2 linked regions of the Caenorhabditis elegans genome follow. The protein of the gene in region 2 purifies or fractionates together with the protein of the main gene of each other region. This does not show direct contact. Each region holds a gene or a part of one and is shown on either strand. Other genes may lie near its edges.

What was found. The genes of interacting proteins can lie anywhere in the genome.
Region 1: the proteins of T05C3.2 (region 2) and F01D5.10 fractionate together in Caenorhabditis elegans (co-fractionation; one large-scale study listed by BioGRID). This does not show direct contact.

Annotation. Positions count from the first base shown.
Region 1 is NC_003280.10:14,015,194-14,023,807, forward strand, and holds F01D5.10 (Carbohydrate sulfotransferase), read right to left. Parts: upstream 6,138-8,614; 5' UTR 6,033-6,137; intron 5,766-6,032; 5' UTR 5,753-5,765; coding exon 5,494-5,752; intron 4,937-5,493; coding exon 4,860-4,936; intron 4,271-4,859; coding exon 4,128-4,270; intron 4,081-4,127; coding exon 3,943-4,080; intron 3,884-3,942; coding exon 3,746-3,883; intron 3,249-3,745; exon of another isoform or gene 3,160-3,248; intron 3,104-3,159; coding exon 2,946-3,103; intron 2,903-2,945; coding exon 2,772-2,902; 3' UTR 2,646-2,771; downstream 1-2,645. Other genes in the region: cyp-37A1 (CYtochrome P450 family), read right to left, coding at 1-159, 810-909, 955-1,140, 1,189-1,307, 1,407-1,503, 1,686-1,766.
Region 2 is NC_003283.11:5,490,633-5,498,198, reverse strand, and holds the start of T05C3.2 (NACHT domain-containing protein), read right to left. Parts: upstream 4,453-7,566; coding exon 4,234-4,452; intron 4,190-4,233; coding exon 4,092-4,189; intron 4,048-4,091; coding exon 3,945-4,047; intron 3,728-3,944; coding exon 3,407-3,727; intron 3,357-3,406; coding exon 3,069-3,356; intron 2,898-3,068; coding exon 2,376-2,897; intron 2,189-2,375; coding exon 1,883-2,188; intron 1,840-1,882; coding exon 1,602-1,839; intron 1,546-1,601; coding exon 1,138-1,545; intron 1,093-1,137; coding exon 920-1,092; intron 872-919; coding exon 741-871; intron 480-740; coding exon 390-479; intron 342-389; coding exon 154-341; intron 107-153; coding exon 1-106. Other genes in the region: T05C3.6 (PLD phosphodiesterase domain-containing protein), read right to left, coding at 4,609-4,805, 5,356-5,484, 5,527-5,839, 5,888-6,185, 6,231-6,391, 6,916-7,019, 7,067-7,161, 7,204-7,340.

The DNA.
Region 1 (8,614 bases), on a different chromosome or scaffold from region 2:
GAAAATCCGCCTCATAACCAATCAGTTGTCGGATCGGTTTGATCCATAGCCATGGCATCCGCTGGTATTTGAACGCGAGACTGTTCATCTCGTTGACAGCCACCACGTACGGATGTGTGTGATTCGTTTGGGCGCTTACGGTGGTTCCCATTGCAGTTTCTGGAATGTGTTAGGGGGTACTGTAGGCGTACTGTAGAAATGTCTCAAGTTTTGTAGTAGTGCGGTAGGGGTACTGTATAGGTGCTACAGGGGAACTGTAGGAGCACTGTTGGGGTGCTGTATAGGTACTGTACAGGGATTAGAAGGGGATTAGAGGGAGTCCGTAAGGGTACAGTAGAGGACTAGGGGTATTGTAGGATTACTCTGAGGGGGGGGGTTGCTGTAGGTTTACTGTAGAGGTACCACAGGAGAACTGTAGTGGTACTGTAGGGGTACCGGAGCGGTATTGTAGGATTACTGTATGGGTTTTATAGGGTCAGTGTAGGAACATTGTAGGGGAACTGTAGGAGTACTGTAGAATTATTTTATGGGTACGGGGCGTGGGTACCGTAGGGATACTGTAGGGGGACTGTGGAGGGGACTATAGGTTTACTGTAGAAGTACTTTAGGGGTATTGTATAGGTACCGTTGGGAGGGATACTGTAGGGGTATTGTATGAGGTACTGTTGGGTCTGCAGAATTAGTGCAAAATTACTGGAGTGATACTGTAGAGATACACACTACATGGGAACTGTAGGAGTACTGTCGTTTTTTGGCGAGAGTACCGTAGGGGTACTGTAGGGGTACTGTACTAATACTGTACTACTTACCACAAATAATATCCAAAGCACATCTCTTAATGTAAGGGAATGCGTCAATTGTGCTATCATCAGTTTTCTTGGCGGCATTTTCGATTTGTTCTAGCAAAATCTGAAAATCCCAATTTGCAAACTCCTGCTTTTCGGTATAACATACCATGCTTTGACTATTGAAAACCACTTGAAAATCGATAAGAACATTGAAATGAAACGATGGGGTCATCATCTTTCGCCGACCTCTCCATTTCTCACCGCTCGCCAGGAGAAGCCCCGTTCCGAGCCACGGAAGGAAAATGTCATATTCACTACTCTTGTTGATCAGGGCATTGCTTTCGAGAACTTTCTGAAAAATGTGAAAATTTTGTGCGCCCGACATATTACGGGTTTGTACCTTATTAGCTTCAGGTGTCAAAACGATGACCATTGGGTATGGTCCCATCCAGAAAGCAGCTAAGGATGAGCCTTTTGTGGAGTACTCCAATCCCCAGTTGTAGAGTTGAAGCGCGAATTCTGGAAATTTGTTTTTAAAACATTTTTTTTTGTTTCGGTGATTCAAATTCTAGAATAAAATTCTGTAGTTTTTTGAACAAATTTAAAAAAAAACCTCACCAACTGGATCCATTTTGAACTGAAAAGTTGTGCCTAGCAGGGGTAAAGCCAGAGGACCATCGATTTTGGACATAAGATGGTAGAGCCGCATTCTTTCCTGAAAAAAATGTTTATTACGGTTTTTATACATACTTTTAAGGATATTTTTGAAATTTCGATCTTTGAAAAAGTGGAAAAAAATTTTTGGATATTTTTCAAAAAAAAATTTCTTTTGGAAATTTTTGAAATTTTTTGAATTTTTTTTTTCAAATTTATGTTCTTTAATAAGAATGTACTTACCTTCACAAATTTCAAAATTTTACTCAAATTAAACACAACATATATTACCACCAAAGCAAGGAGGTACACAGCGATCCCCATTTTTTTCTGAAAATTTTAAAATTATATTTAAAAATTAAAATTAACCATATAATATAACAGTGAAATTGAAGAGTTTTTATGTTAAAATATTCAAAAAGTTAAAAAAAAAAAACTAAATAAATTTTTTGGAAAAAATCTGAAAAAAATTTCAAAAAAATTTTATTTCATTTTTTTTAATTAAAAACTGAAATTTTCATACTGAAAAAATTTTGTTTTTTTCAACTACACTCAAAATACTGAACCTCTGTGAATTAATGCATATCAAAAAATTTCCTTAAAAACGGAAAAAAAGTGTAGTATAGTGGTAATTTAATAGAGAAAAATGTGCACATGTCAACTGATAATATCAGTTGATTTTCAAACTGATTCCTTATTTTGTTTGGCTAGACACTTGGCTACAGTACTGGGAGGAGCATTTTGCTCCGTGAGCATTTTTGATCTACGATTTTAAAAAATTTAGAAATATCTAGTTTGGCCATTAATTTTTAACTAATTGTAGTACTTGAAATTGTCTATTAGTTGATTTTAAAAAAATTTGAAAATTAGCAAAGTGCTAAAAATTGAATTTTAAAAAACTACAACAGTCTCAAGTAGCTGGGGTTTTAACAAAAATTTCAAAATTTTGCATTAGAGCGCATTTGCTAAACCTCAAAAATGAACAAAATTACAGTAATTTAAAATTTCTACATCATTAAAAAACCTCCGCAAAAAATTCTGCAAAAATGTTGATCTTCTGCAAAACCGTGTTGCACTTTAGAATAGTAAACCTGAACTATTTGTAAAAATCAAATTCCCAAACGTTTTGAAAAAGCCCACACAGCACAACACAAACATTGATAGTGATTATGTCATTTTTGATAAGAAATAAACCTTAAAATTCAAAATTCGAATCATTTATTGAGGAAAAGCACCAGAAATCGATGGAACAACAACGCAAAAAGTATGGAAATGGGGAACCCGTGAAATGTCAGCTGCTTTTGGTTTTTTTTTTTTTTGAGAACTTGTTTAAAATGGGTATCCAAACACGATAAAGTCGTGTTCGTACAGATAACGGAATAGTCGGTAAAGATCGTCATGATCTCGTTTTATGGCTACGGCGAGCTCACGTTCGTCCGGTGAGAGCTCCAGGGGAATTTCTGAAAATCAGGATTTTCGGACGCTTCAGACTAAAAAACCTACTCAAAACTTCCTCCTTAATAATCCGCTGAACCTCTTGAGCAACTCCCTGCTCCCCAAGGATTTCATTCAGGTTATCGGAGAACTCCGCCCGTTCAGTTTGATTCCCGCCAATCTTCACTGTACGAATCTTTTGAAACTCCCGATTGAAATGGCAATTCCTGGAAATAATAAACACACTTTGCTAAAAAGCTAACTTCCAAAATTTATTATTAAAACGTCCTCAGACAGCCAAGGTGTCTCGACATATTGGCATTCGGTAATATTTTAGCGAAACCTGTCCTGTTTTCATCCTCACCAGACGTGATTAAAGAAAGAAGGCTCGCGAACGTAATAAACCGACGCGGCGGACAACTTGCGGGTTCCGCGGCGCGCTATGTTTTACGTGGACGCTGCGGGGAGAGAGCGTGTGGTAGGAGGAAACGCAGCGTGGGGGAGGTGATTTAAAGGGGAAATTGCATTTATTGATGTTAAAAATGTGGTTTTTTGGTATTTTCAGTACAAATTTTGGTTTTTTATTGGCATAAAAAGTGAGAATAAAACCTTTTTGGACGGGAAACAATAAAAAATTACGAATTTTTGATGAAATTTTAGTAGTTTTTCTCCAAAAGTGCACTAATATTTTACTTTTTCTTTAAATTTAAAATATTTTACATATTTTTTGAACGTTTCTCTTCATTTTCCAGCTATTTTTCTAATCTTTCAACTTAAAAATCGATTTTAAAGCCAATTTTCCAAATTTTCAGCTAATTTGCAATGGAGCGCGCTTGCATTCCCGACTTTTTTCAAAATACCGTACTTACCAAGTCTGAGGGCTGAAATGATTTGTGATAAACGTCCTGACTGGTCCTGCAAGCCCCTCCGCTGTTTTTTCGTGCTGCTTCAACAATTTCCGCATGAAGCAACTGAGATTGTCCTGGCAGTTGAAGCATTTTCGCTCACTGCAAAAAAAAAATCGATAATTATTGATTTTTTTTTCGTAAAAATCAATAAAACTCACATTTTACACAACTTCTTATATGACCTAACAAATCGTTCCAACGGATGCTGAATAAATACAATCCTTCGAAAATCGTCATTAATTTTATCCCACAGCTTCCAGTCGTTCATATTGAATTCAGCGATTTTGGAGCATAATCTGAATCTCTAATTGTAGAGCACCTAGATAACTTATAAAATTCTTACCCAGTTTCTCCAATATCCTGAGAAATTGTCTTATTCGCCGAAGTGTATAGCGTTGAATTGTACAAATAGCAAAATATGGCTGTATTCATTTCGGGAAAGTTTCCGTTTATGGTGCATCCCGATAGTTTGTACTTTGGGACAAACTGAAAATTTAATTTGAAAATTTTGGAATATTTTGTCAGTTGACAAATTTTTGTTACCTTTAATCTCCGCCGAGATATGCGCATTTAAAGTATTTCGGTCAGCAGAGCGGTAGCGGGGTGTCAGTGGGCGGTAGCGGGCGGTAGCGGGGGTGCCAGTGGGCGGTAGCGGAGCTATAGCGGGGCGGTAGCGGGCGGTAGCGGGGTGTCAGTGGGCGGTAGCGGGGTGTCAGTGGGCGGTAGCGGGGTGTCAGTGGGCGGTAGCGGGCGGTAGCGGGGTGCCAGTGGGCGGTAGCGGGGCTGTAACGGGGCGGTAGCGGGCGGTAGCGGGGTGTCAGTGGGCGGTAGCGGGGTGTCAGTGGGCGGTAGCGGGGCGGTAGCGGGGCGGTAGCGGGGCGGTAGCGGGGCGGTAGCGGGGCTGTAGCGGGGCGGTAGCGGGGTGTCAGTGGGCGGTAGCGGGGCGGTAGCGGGGCGGTAGCGGGGCGGTAGCGGGGCGGTAGCGGGGCGATAGCGGGGCGGTAGCGGGGCGATAGCGGGGCGGTAGCGGGGGCGGTAGCGGGCGACTTTTGTCCAATGTTTATCTGCGCCTTACCTTCTCAGCCCGATACCCCTGCGCAAATGGTGGCAGGGATTTGATGAGGTCCGACATCCAGGCGACTCGAGGTCTGTCTGAAAAAATTGATTTTTTTTTTTGCAATTTTGTCCCCGGTTTTGTTTGTAGTGTTTCTGTGGTTTGGTGATCAAAAATTTTAAACCGTAAAAGGGAGAGGGAAATTAGGAAATTTCAGCTAATTTGAGAAAATTTCGATTTCGCCTAATACGGGCTTGATCAATCATCAGGAATTTGTTTCGAGGAGGTTAGCATAAATTGATTATAGTACTTGTGACAGGGTTACTGTAGTGGTACTGTACTTGGGATTACTATATAGGGTTACTGTAGGAGTACTGTAGTTACTAGTGTTTGCTAGGCACAATTACTGTACAATGAATGTGGGCGTACTGTACTAGGGTTTACCTTACGGGGTTGCTGTAGGAGTACTGAGTATTACTGTATAGGGTTACCGTAGGAGTACTGTTGCTGACTAATGTACTCGGGATTACTACACTAGGTTTACTGTATGGGTATTGTAAAAGTACTATAGTTGACAACTGTACTAAGGTTTACTGCATAGGGTTACTATAGGAGTACTGTAGTTGACACTATTAATTTAAACCAAACAACTCACACCTATCAGTAACCACAGATGGTTGCAGTTGAGCTTGCGGCGGATTCTTCCATTGTGAATATGCGAACCACATGAGCCCGACTGTGATGACAAATGGTACCAATAAATATGCGTGGTTCGAACGTCGAGGTGGCTGCACGTGCTGTAAGGTTGAGGACATCCTCTTGTACTGTGTTGGGAGCTCCCCGACTGGAGGTGGTGGAGGTGTTGTTGGGAGCGGCGGAGGTTTTTGGCACTCGTGTTTGTGCTTTTTTACCATTTTGATAGGTATCCTTAAAGAAAATAGGATTACTGTAAGATTACTGTAGGTGCCCCGTAGGGGTACTGCAGGGTTACTGTAAGAGTATTGTATGGTTACTGTAGAAGTAATGTATATGGTTAGTGTATGGGTAATGTAGGATTACTGTAGGAGTCATGTAGAACTAATGTAGGAGTAATTCAGAACTACTGTAAGAGTATTGTAGGATTATTGTGAGAATACTGTAAGATTACTGTGAGGGTACTGTAAGATTACTGTAAGAAAACTGGAGGATTATTACCGGTACAGAGAGTGTAGATAGTTAGAGAGTGACAGACATCCGGGACCCAATGGGGCGGGGCGCGCGGAAGAGACGATTTGTCTCGATTTACGAAATGATGACAATGAGGAAAAGTTCGTAAATCGACACAAATCGTCTCTTCCGCGCGCCCCGCCCCATTGGGTCCCGGATGTCTGTCACTCTCTAACTATCTACACTCTCTGTACCGGTAATACTGTAGGAGTACTGTATGGTTACTGTGGAAATAGTGTAGGGTTACTGTAGCAGTTCTGCATGGTTAGTGTTGGGGTACTGTATGATTACTGTAAGAGAATTGGAAGATTACTGTAGGGGTATTGTTGAAGTACAATGGAACTTTGAGGGAAGGAGTACTGTTAGGGATTCTCAGCACGCAGAATACATAGTTTCAAACTAGCGAGCTTTCAAAGTTACACAGTAAGCGATAGGTGGAAGCGAAATTTACATCTTTCCAAAAAAAATGCATGGGCGCAAAAACGAATGACGAAGATCACAAAGGTGACGATTTTCAAATAGATAAGACTGGCTAAAAGTCAGGAATTTACAGGCAGATGTCTGAGATGAGAAAATGTGGAAATTTTTGAAAATCGAGAAAACAAAAATATTGGAAAAAGGCAGGAATTTCAGATACCCGGGGATTTAAACAGAAAATTGTAAATTTTTTGGAAAAGCCAAGTGGCGTATCAAATCGCTAATCATTGGGCCTTATGACAAGGATAAAAAGAAGTTGGTGATTATGTGGAGATGATCAGAGGCAGAAATATTATACCTACTTCATGCCTGCGCACCTGCCTACCACCTATTTTCTAAATTATGGCGTCAACTGTACATATAGAATAATTTGAAGTATACAGAAATAAAGGCAAGACTTTGGTAGTAGGCAGGCGTGAGGGCTTGAGGCAAGTATAGGTTGCTTTTCAAGCATGTTAACAGACAGTCAGGTAGGTAGGCAGGACCCCCCCCCCCCCCCCCCACCGCATCAGAAAAACAGAACCATAAAACTACTCCCCTGACAATGTGTAGTTAATGTGTAGGGTATTACGTAAAACGTCTAGGTGTTTCAAGTTTTTTGCCAATTCGCTCTCCCTCTTTTTTTTTATTCTGCGCATCATTTTTGGTGTGTGTGTGTGTTTGTCTAAATCTCTTCTCAATTTCCCATATTTTTTGCGGGGGTTCGGCAGCGGCGGCGGTGAATAAGGAAAAGCTGTAGGTCTGTGTTTGATTGCGCGTTTTGGTGGATTTGCCAAGGACTATTGGGTTTCGGTTAGGGAGGGAAATGAAGCTGGAGGAGAATTTTTCTGGGGATTTATGCAACTTAAAATTGGGAAAGCTTGGCGTTCGGAAAATGTATCCAAAAAAAAGTAATGACGGTTCAAAATTTTGAAAAACAATACCAATTTTCAGCTGAAATTTCAAATTTTGTCTCGAACTTTTCAAAAAATTCCAACAACTGCCAAAAAACTTACCAACTATCTGACTAACTATAGTCGTTTGAAAAGTAAAATATTTGCCGGAAATTTTTGAAATATTTCTGGAAAATGACAAAAGTTGCCGAGAGGTTTGAAAAAAGCAACGAAAAATGATAAAATTATTTTAAAATTTCCGAAAAATTTCCGCTATGACTCGGCGTTTGCCGCCAGCTTCCTACCCAAGGCTTCGCAACTTCTTACCCAAGCCTTGCCCAAAAAATAAAAACATTTATAAGGAGTTGCCAAGACTTGGGTAAACCTTGGGCAAAAGTTGGGCGCCGCCTCAAAAATGAAAAAAGTCGTCGACTGCCTCGTCGTCCCGAGGCGTCGCCCTAGTCTTACCCAAGTCTTACCCAAGTTTTGCCTATTCCTTACCCAATTTATACCTGTGTGTTGAACTTTGATCTCATTTCCCGTTGTGCCGAAGTCTTACCTGCTGAGCCATGATGGTCGCGCGAAAAGATGCACACTATCGTACTCATATTCTGATAGATATTTTTGAGGAAGTACCAGACATATCGGATTGATACGGTATTCTCACATACCTTATTTCATTTGTTTTCAAGTGTGCTCCCTAATGATCCTAAGTACAGAATTTACAGAATTACTGTAATTCATGTTTGTTTCTTGTCTTTCAATTTTTTAAAAGTTTACATTTCAAAGAAACAGTTCGGTTTTAGAAAAATTCAAAATTTGATGCATTGGTATGACTGACTATTATTTGACTATTGGACTGACTAGGAGAAGAATTATCCTGAAGATAACTTTTATTTTTATTTTTAGATAAATTACACGGTTTATTAGACAAAATGGCAATAAAAAGCAAACTTTGTTCGTACATTTTTTAACAATGTTAGCCATCAGAGAAAAATATTGAGAATTTGCCTTTGAAGGGACAAGTTTTCTTGTGAATTCTTTCAATTACATCGAAATTCCTCTGTTTTAGATACAAATTACTCAAAAGACAAAATCTCGATTTACGCTAAACATTGCGCGTGCGGGATTTCGGAATCTTGTTCGTTCTTTACATCTGCAAACTTGGGTAAGAAGTTGGCAAGACTTGGCTAAGACTTGGGCAAGACACGGGCGAGGGAG
Region 2 (7,566 bases):
ACTTGATTGTTATTTGTGTAGGCAGCGGCAAATTTATCATTTTCTGATACAGCCAGTCCGAAGAAGACTCCATCGATATTTGGATTAACAACTCGAGCAATATCTCCTGCGAATTCAAGTTCTTAAGTTTTTTCTCAACTGTTATAAAAGTACCTGTAGACACATCCCAGACAATAATCTGAGTTGATGTTGATACCAGAAGCTTCCGATCAGAGGTCAATTGCATTCCAAAAACAGCAAACTGATGTTCTTCTAGCGAAAACTTGAGAGGGCCTCCCGGGGCGTGGAAACAATGGTGAGCCGGTACAAACGAATTGTGTTGGGGACCTTCTTTGTCACATCTGGATAATAATTTTTATTTTTTTAAAAATTTTTTGAACTAGTATTACTTGATAAGGAGCTTGCTGACGTATTTGTTAGTGGCGACAAGAGGTAGAAGTCGTCCAAGAAGCTCGAAGGCTAGCATGGACGGGTTGCGGCTGGAATATTATACGTTGGGTGTTATTACTCAGATGTCAAATTTTGAATACGGTACACGGTCTCGACACGACAAAATTTTTTGTTGACTACAAGAAGTGAGCCTTTAATGAGTATTGTACTGTCAAACTACTGCTGCTGCTGCTGAATATTCATCGATTTTTCATTGATTTTCTCTAGATTTGACAGAATTAAAGTTTTTAAAAATTATTTTTCTTAAGTTTCAATATGTATAAATATACAGTTCCCCTAAAAAGGCCCACCTCAATATACTCGCTGAAAGTCTTAAAGCGTCTACTGCGAGAGAAAGTTGACGAGATATCTCGACATCTCGAACATTTTGAATAGCATCTTCATAATCGGCAATAAGAGATTGCAATGGAAAACTTGATACCTGGAATCGAAATTTCAACTTTAATCTCTATCATGATTTTTCAGCAACCTTTGCATGCAAAAACTCGTAATCAAAAAGACAGAGTGTCAACAGTTCATCGACTCTTCCGGATCTCAGAAGGTGATACGGTAGTTCGTTCAATTTTCTTGTGTTGTACCTATGGTTTCCATCTTTCGAAGAAAATACATTCGGCTGTTTCGGTACTTTTCTGTCAGCCAGTCCTGGAAATTTATGCTAGACAATCAGGAAAGCGAGCTCGAGTTAACCTTCATTTTCAGTGACTCCAAATCTTTGTTTCTGCATTTCAGTGTATTGATAAGGCTTTGGTACTCCACCCCATACTCCAAGAAAATATTCCGCCATTGCAGAATGACAAGTCTCCAAATGGTTCACATTTTTGAAATATCTTTCAATCGCAACTTGTCGGAACTGTTGATGGTACCAATTTAGAACAATGACTCCATCAGCAGCTCTTTCCGATAGGTAACCAGGAAGGTCGGATCTGATACGACTCCATAACAAAGGTGGAATCCTTCTCACCGGGGGAAGATGGTATTGAAAAATATCATCGAGTACTTTGTCGTCGAGAGAGATCAAATCCTCTACTTCAGAGTCACTGATTCCAGAGCGAGCAGCAGAAATGTAGGATAAAGCATGGGATACGAGTAGTTTTCCTGAAAAAAAGTTTGAATGAAGCTCCGACAGAACAAGTTTTTAAACTATAGTTTACCATGCTGACTCTCGGTTCTATGAAATAAAACGTTGATACTTTCTTGTAACGATGAGAAAAGTATCGTCTCTTGCGGTCGAGAGTATGACTTCCATCTTGCTACAGTTGCATAAATTAATTTCACAAAAAGAGGCAATGTACATTTATCAAGTGCCTTAGATACCGTATTCCATTGTCTTTCAGAAAGTGTACGGCCTTTGTCAGACAACCATTCTCGAACAACTTGAAATCCAAGATCCTGAAATTAATCATGAATATCTGAAAATTGGCATGCCAAATACTTTTCCCAAACTTGGAACCATCAGATACTGTCTTTTGTCTTCAATTAGTCGTTGCATTTTCGAGTAAATCAGACTTCCACCCGGCGTGAGGGATGCGAATAATTTGACAAATGGAGGTAAAGAAGGGGGAAACCAAAGAAGTTCATGAGCTCCATCGATTCTTGATAAAAGATCAAGACTGTCAAAAATTATTACTAGTGGTTTTTCGCGAGTGGCAAGGTTGGTTATCTTTTTGAAATGTTGGAAGAGTTTTGATAACTCAGTTGGGGAAGAATTTTTGAGCGATTCGTCGTAGTTTGATGCAATCTGGAAAATGATAAGCTTAAAATAATTATGAAGGTGGAGTATCGTCAGAGGGGGATTATTAAAAACTGCTCCTTTAGGGCTGAAATGCCCAATTCTTTTTTTGGGTGTTTTAGTATGATATTAGGCCATGTTAGACTATTTTATGTGTCTTTTTCCTTTTTAGAATAATACTAATAATTGTTTTTACCTGATCACAGACACTTGTGAGGAGTGGGGCAATATTTGAACTATCCGGACTCGTCCCCAAGAATCTCAATAGAACCACTGGCTCGCAGGAATTATCATACCATTCCCTGATCTTAGTTGCAATTTTAGCCATCAGAGATGTCTTCCCACACCCATTTTCTCCTTGAAGAATAATAGGAAGTGTTGAATTCCCGAGAACATATTGTTTGGCACAATCCAGTTGTTCATTTCTTCCGAAAAACATATTGGAGACGGTGATTCCAGTTGTTAAATGGGTTAGGACTTCTGTGAATAGTTGATCTCGAAACCTCGCGTGCTTTTCCATTGCGTTATCGACCATTGAGGTGATACTTTTATAAAAGTCCGTACAAAATTGACGAATGTATTCAGCGTGATATTGAACGTCGATTCCATCTCTTCCAACCCATTCCACAGTTGATCGTCTGATATTTTGCATTGCCAACTTGGCAGGGACTCTTTCATCACGAAGATTTGCAAGGAGTTTTTGAGCTTCAGAGTTTACCTATAAACATATTAAGAGTTCACTGAAACTTTGTACCAATACTTGATTCGTTGCTGGCTTTGAACTGTTTTAATGAAGTTGATCAAAAAATTTTCGAAAAAAATACAACATCTGCCATCTGGCGCGTCTGTTTCTGACCAGAATATTTTGACCGACACTGTGAAAACTTACATGATTGTGTGCAATATCCACAAATTTGGAAGCTGTCTTCATTTGTGACAAAGCAATATTGTTGATGTGTCGAATGTAACACAAACAATGCTCATTCGGATTTTTAACTTTTAATATTCCGTGCACAACTTCTCTTTCCGTCACAGACATGAAATAATTATGCATTGCTTCACGATCTAAAAATCCTTTCTCATAACAACTTCTTGCGCCCTTTCTCAACAGTTGCTGCATTTTCGCTTCACACTCCCACCACTGCTTTGCATCTTGTTCTTGAAGTTTTGGAATTCTCTGAAATCAATAAAATCTTCATATTTGGTCTACATATCAAACTTCTTTACCTTGTTATTAAAGTTTACTAGAATACTACTAATTTGCTGTAGAACAAACATAGGCGGAACAGAGTTCGAGTCTTCAATATACCAATTGTCTAATAGTGAAATGTCTTCATGCTCCTCTCGTAAAGTTCTCTTCAGCATTTCTAGTTCTGTAGAAAGGATTTCTGACGGAATAGGTCGGTATCCATATTTTTGGCAAAGAAAAACCACAAAATTGGCGCCAACTGAAAGTCGTTGACAGTTGGCAATTTCAGACAAGCAAAGTTTAGTGGTCATATGATCGTCGGTTGATTCGTCTCGGACTCCCCATCTCATATCGACAACCTGAAATTTCGTGGTTTTTCAGATCTTCTGAGTTTTAAGCCTTCAGAACTACGGGACTTCAAACCTTCAGAACTACTGAGCTTCAAACCTACATACAGAACTTCGGGACTTCAGAATTACCGGACTTTCACTCTTTACAGCTATCGGGCTTCAAGTAGACAAAATTTCCGGGTTTCAAGCCATCGGAAAAACTTTCATAAAAATCCAAAAAAAAAACCTGAAAATCCAGACCATAAGTCTCACGGCAGTATTCCTTAAGCTTTGGATAAATCTCCTCCATTAGCGCGTTTCGTTCTACAGTTGTATCGGTGAACGTAGAGCTGAATACCTTATCAATTACCATAGTTGATCTCTATTCATTTACCTTGTAAAAACTCTGACAAGTTTGCTCTGAGGCTTTGGAATATTACTGAGCTTTCCGGAAAAAACTCGATCAAAAATTTCCTGAGTGTACGGATCTCGCTGAAATTTTATGAAATTCCTGAACAGTGTTGTTCTAAACTCACCCTTTCAACAACTTGCTTTTGTTCATTATTTTGACTAAGAAGCATGTCCAAACCAGTTGTACTTCTAGAATTTCCATTTTCTTTTTTCTGCAGGTGATTAGGAATTAAGAATTTAGATTCAATACTACTTTTCTTGCTGCTTCTTGTCAACTGAGATGTTGACGTGGATTTGGATCTTTTCTTATGAACATCTGATCTTGAAATTGAAGATGAATACATAAAATTTGAAAATGTGAACAAAATTTTCCAACTCAGACATCCCGACACTTTAGAACTTCCGGGCTTCCGGACTACAAATTAAGACACGCTTCGGAAATTTCACAGATGAACGATTTATTGGCATTTGTGAGCAGAAGGAGAGGTGAAAGAGTAAGCTCAATAGAAATTACTAGTCCTATTACCGGATATTGTAAAATTTTTCAAAGGAATTGTGTAAGTTGAGGACCAATCTCTTTCGAACACGGAAGTGAATTGTTGAACGAGTTTGGATTTGGAAGTGAAATCATCCGCACGGATCACTATTCCGATACCGGCTGTATACTGCCAATAGTCTGATGACCAATTTGATGTTCCTGAAAATGTTAAATTGATTCTATTAAAGATAAATTTTACATTCTACGGGTGCCCGGGGGTGTTAACAAGTTTAGTGGTGGGCGACAATTGCCGTTCTGCAAATTCAGCCAATCAGCAAAATAGCCGGTTTTTTTGGCTGCCGAAATGTTTTTTTTTTGAATTTGAAAGAAATTTCGAAGTTTGCCGAAAATCAATTTCACGAAATTTTTAAAGAGCAAATTACATGCAGCTGCATATTTTTGTCTAATTTCCTTCCTTATTTCAGGAAAATGTAGAAAATGGTTTCGATTCAGAAATTTATAATTCAAACTTTGATATTTCCAGAAAATTCAGAAAACCATAATTAGAGGGTTTTTTTTTGGCAAATTTGTCAAATTGGCAAATTGTCGGTTTGCCGAGTTTGCAAAATTAAAAAAAAAACGGCGATTTGCCGGATTTGTTGCTGAAGCAGCCGATAAATTTTTGGTATTTTTCGGCAACCAGTTTATGTTAGTTGCTGGTTGAGGCGGGCGGGCATGAGTTTGTTAAAAATTATTCAATAAAACTCACCAATATATGCGGCACTTTCCGTTACAAAATACTTATTATGATAAACTCTTGCGTATGGAATCTTTCCATATTGCATTTCAGGAACCTGCACAAATCTTATCTCGATTGATCCCTTCTTTATACATTTGTCTGAAATTTTTTCCCCATTATTCCAGAATGAGTTATTCTCACCGTTAGAGTCCCATTTGTAGCATGGCAGATGATCTGAAATATCTTGCAGAGAATATAGAATACCGTAGACATCTGAGTAAGTATGTGGCCATAATGAAACCATGAATCGAACATGAACTGCTCTTTCAAAGGCTGCTCTTCTGATAGCATTATCCAGCTCGGGTTTCCATTTATTCGCATTTTTCAAGTACAAAGTTGAAGGCGAATAGTCCATTACTGCCATATATAAATATTCTTGAGCTTCATCAATAGTTTTTATCATTGAAGTCAAATCATCTTCTCTTCCACACGCTTGGAATCCTGGAGGAGATGCCTTAAATTTCAATATTTTAGAAAACTATTTCAGAAATATGAAACTCACTGAAATATACATAGCCTGACTACCTGTTGGCTGAAAAACGCTCATTGGACTTTGATGGTTTGCTGGAGTTGACAGACTATTATCCCATTGTTTTGGGATCGTTGCTCCAGGAGCTCCCATATTCCAATAAATTTCTAACAAATTCTTCAAGTCATTAGCCAAACACGGACAATTAAATGCGGCAACCCCAAGTTCTTTGACATTGGTAAGTGATCTCCAGTCAAAGTTTGCGGATCCAATGTAAAAGTGTTTTCCATCAATTGCCCATGATTTCGTGTGGAGAATACCTCCGATATACCTGAAAAATTGCAGTTATAGAGCTGTTTCATAAAAACTAATCTACCAATTTCTAAAATCCAAGCTCCTAACGCGAATTCTACCATTGGAATTTTTAACTAAATCGTCGGTTTCCGGGTAACCACCAGCTTCATATGTTTGGGCAATTCTTACAGAAATATTTCGATTAACAGCAGTTGAGAGAAGTGTGTTGTAGATTTGAGCTCCCTAATAAAAATTCCTATGGAATTTGAATTGATTTAATTTTAGAATTGTAGCAATCAAAAAAGTTGAAGTTTTTTGCAGTTTGCTAGAAAATTTCTAACTTAAACATCCCACTTATTGAACTAACGCAATAGAACTTTGATAACAGTTACCGTATTTCCTCTATTAGTATTGCACCCCATTGTTCAACTTTGGCAGCTTATATCTCAATTATTGTCTGTCCTATTTAAAAAGTGTCAACTAACTAAATATTTGTTAGTTCTTTTTCTATAATTTCGTAGTTAATAATATATTGATATCTTAAAGATGAACAAAGATATAACGTTTCAACGTTAAGTAGTCGGGTGCAATACGATATTCTGTTTTAAGACTGTTTTAATTGTAAACTCGGAGTAAACTCAAAATATCCTTTTCCTGGAAAAATAAATCCAAACTGTCAAAAAAATTCATTAAAAAAAATATATATATACTTTCAGACCATCTTCTAAATTAGCTGAAAATTTATTCAAATCCGAATAAAAACCCACATTCCAACTGGTATTCGTATCATCTGTCGTATAACCATCTCCGGTGTCTTTCACTAACAAACTCCAATAGTAGCTGCCAATAAGAATTTCTTCTTTTGCTTCACCTATAACATTTTTATTGTTTTTTTTATTTGGAAAAAGTTCATCTCACTCATGAGTCTCATCCAACAATCGGTTGTTGAGTTGAAAATCGGATAACTTGAATTGAAAGTCATTCCTGCTGGAATAGATTCGCAGACAACAAATCTAAACTTTTTTTGGGTAAAAAAAACATTTCCAAGTACTTACTCGCAAGTCTCCGCGCATTTTGGCATTGGAGGGAGTTGACAGGTGTTATCAGTTGTGGGGCAATAATTGTTTGAGTAATTGTTGATAACTTGTCCACCATTGTTATTAATGTTTGGATTTACAGCTACAAAATAAGTCTGAAAAAGAAATTGGCTCCGGTTATAGCGGTTAGTGCTGTGCGGAAATTAAAATGATATTGGCAGTTGGCAAGAATTTCAAAAAGCAACATTTTCTAAAAATTCTGAAGGAGTTTAAATTGTCGATAAAAAATTAGAATTTCTAGAAAGTTGAAAATTGGAATATTCCAAACATTTAAGATGTATTTTGTTTCAAAATGATAATAACTCAATAACTCATGTCGAC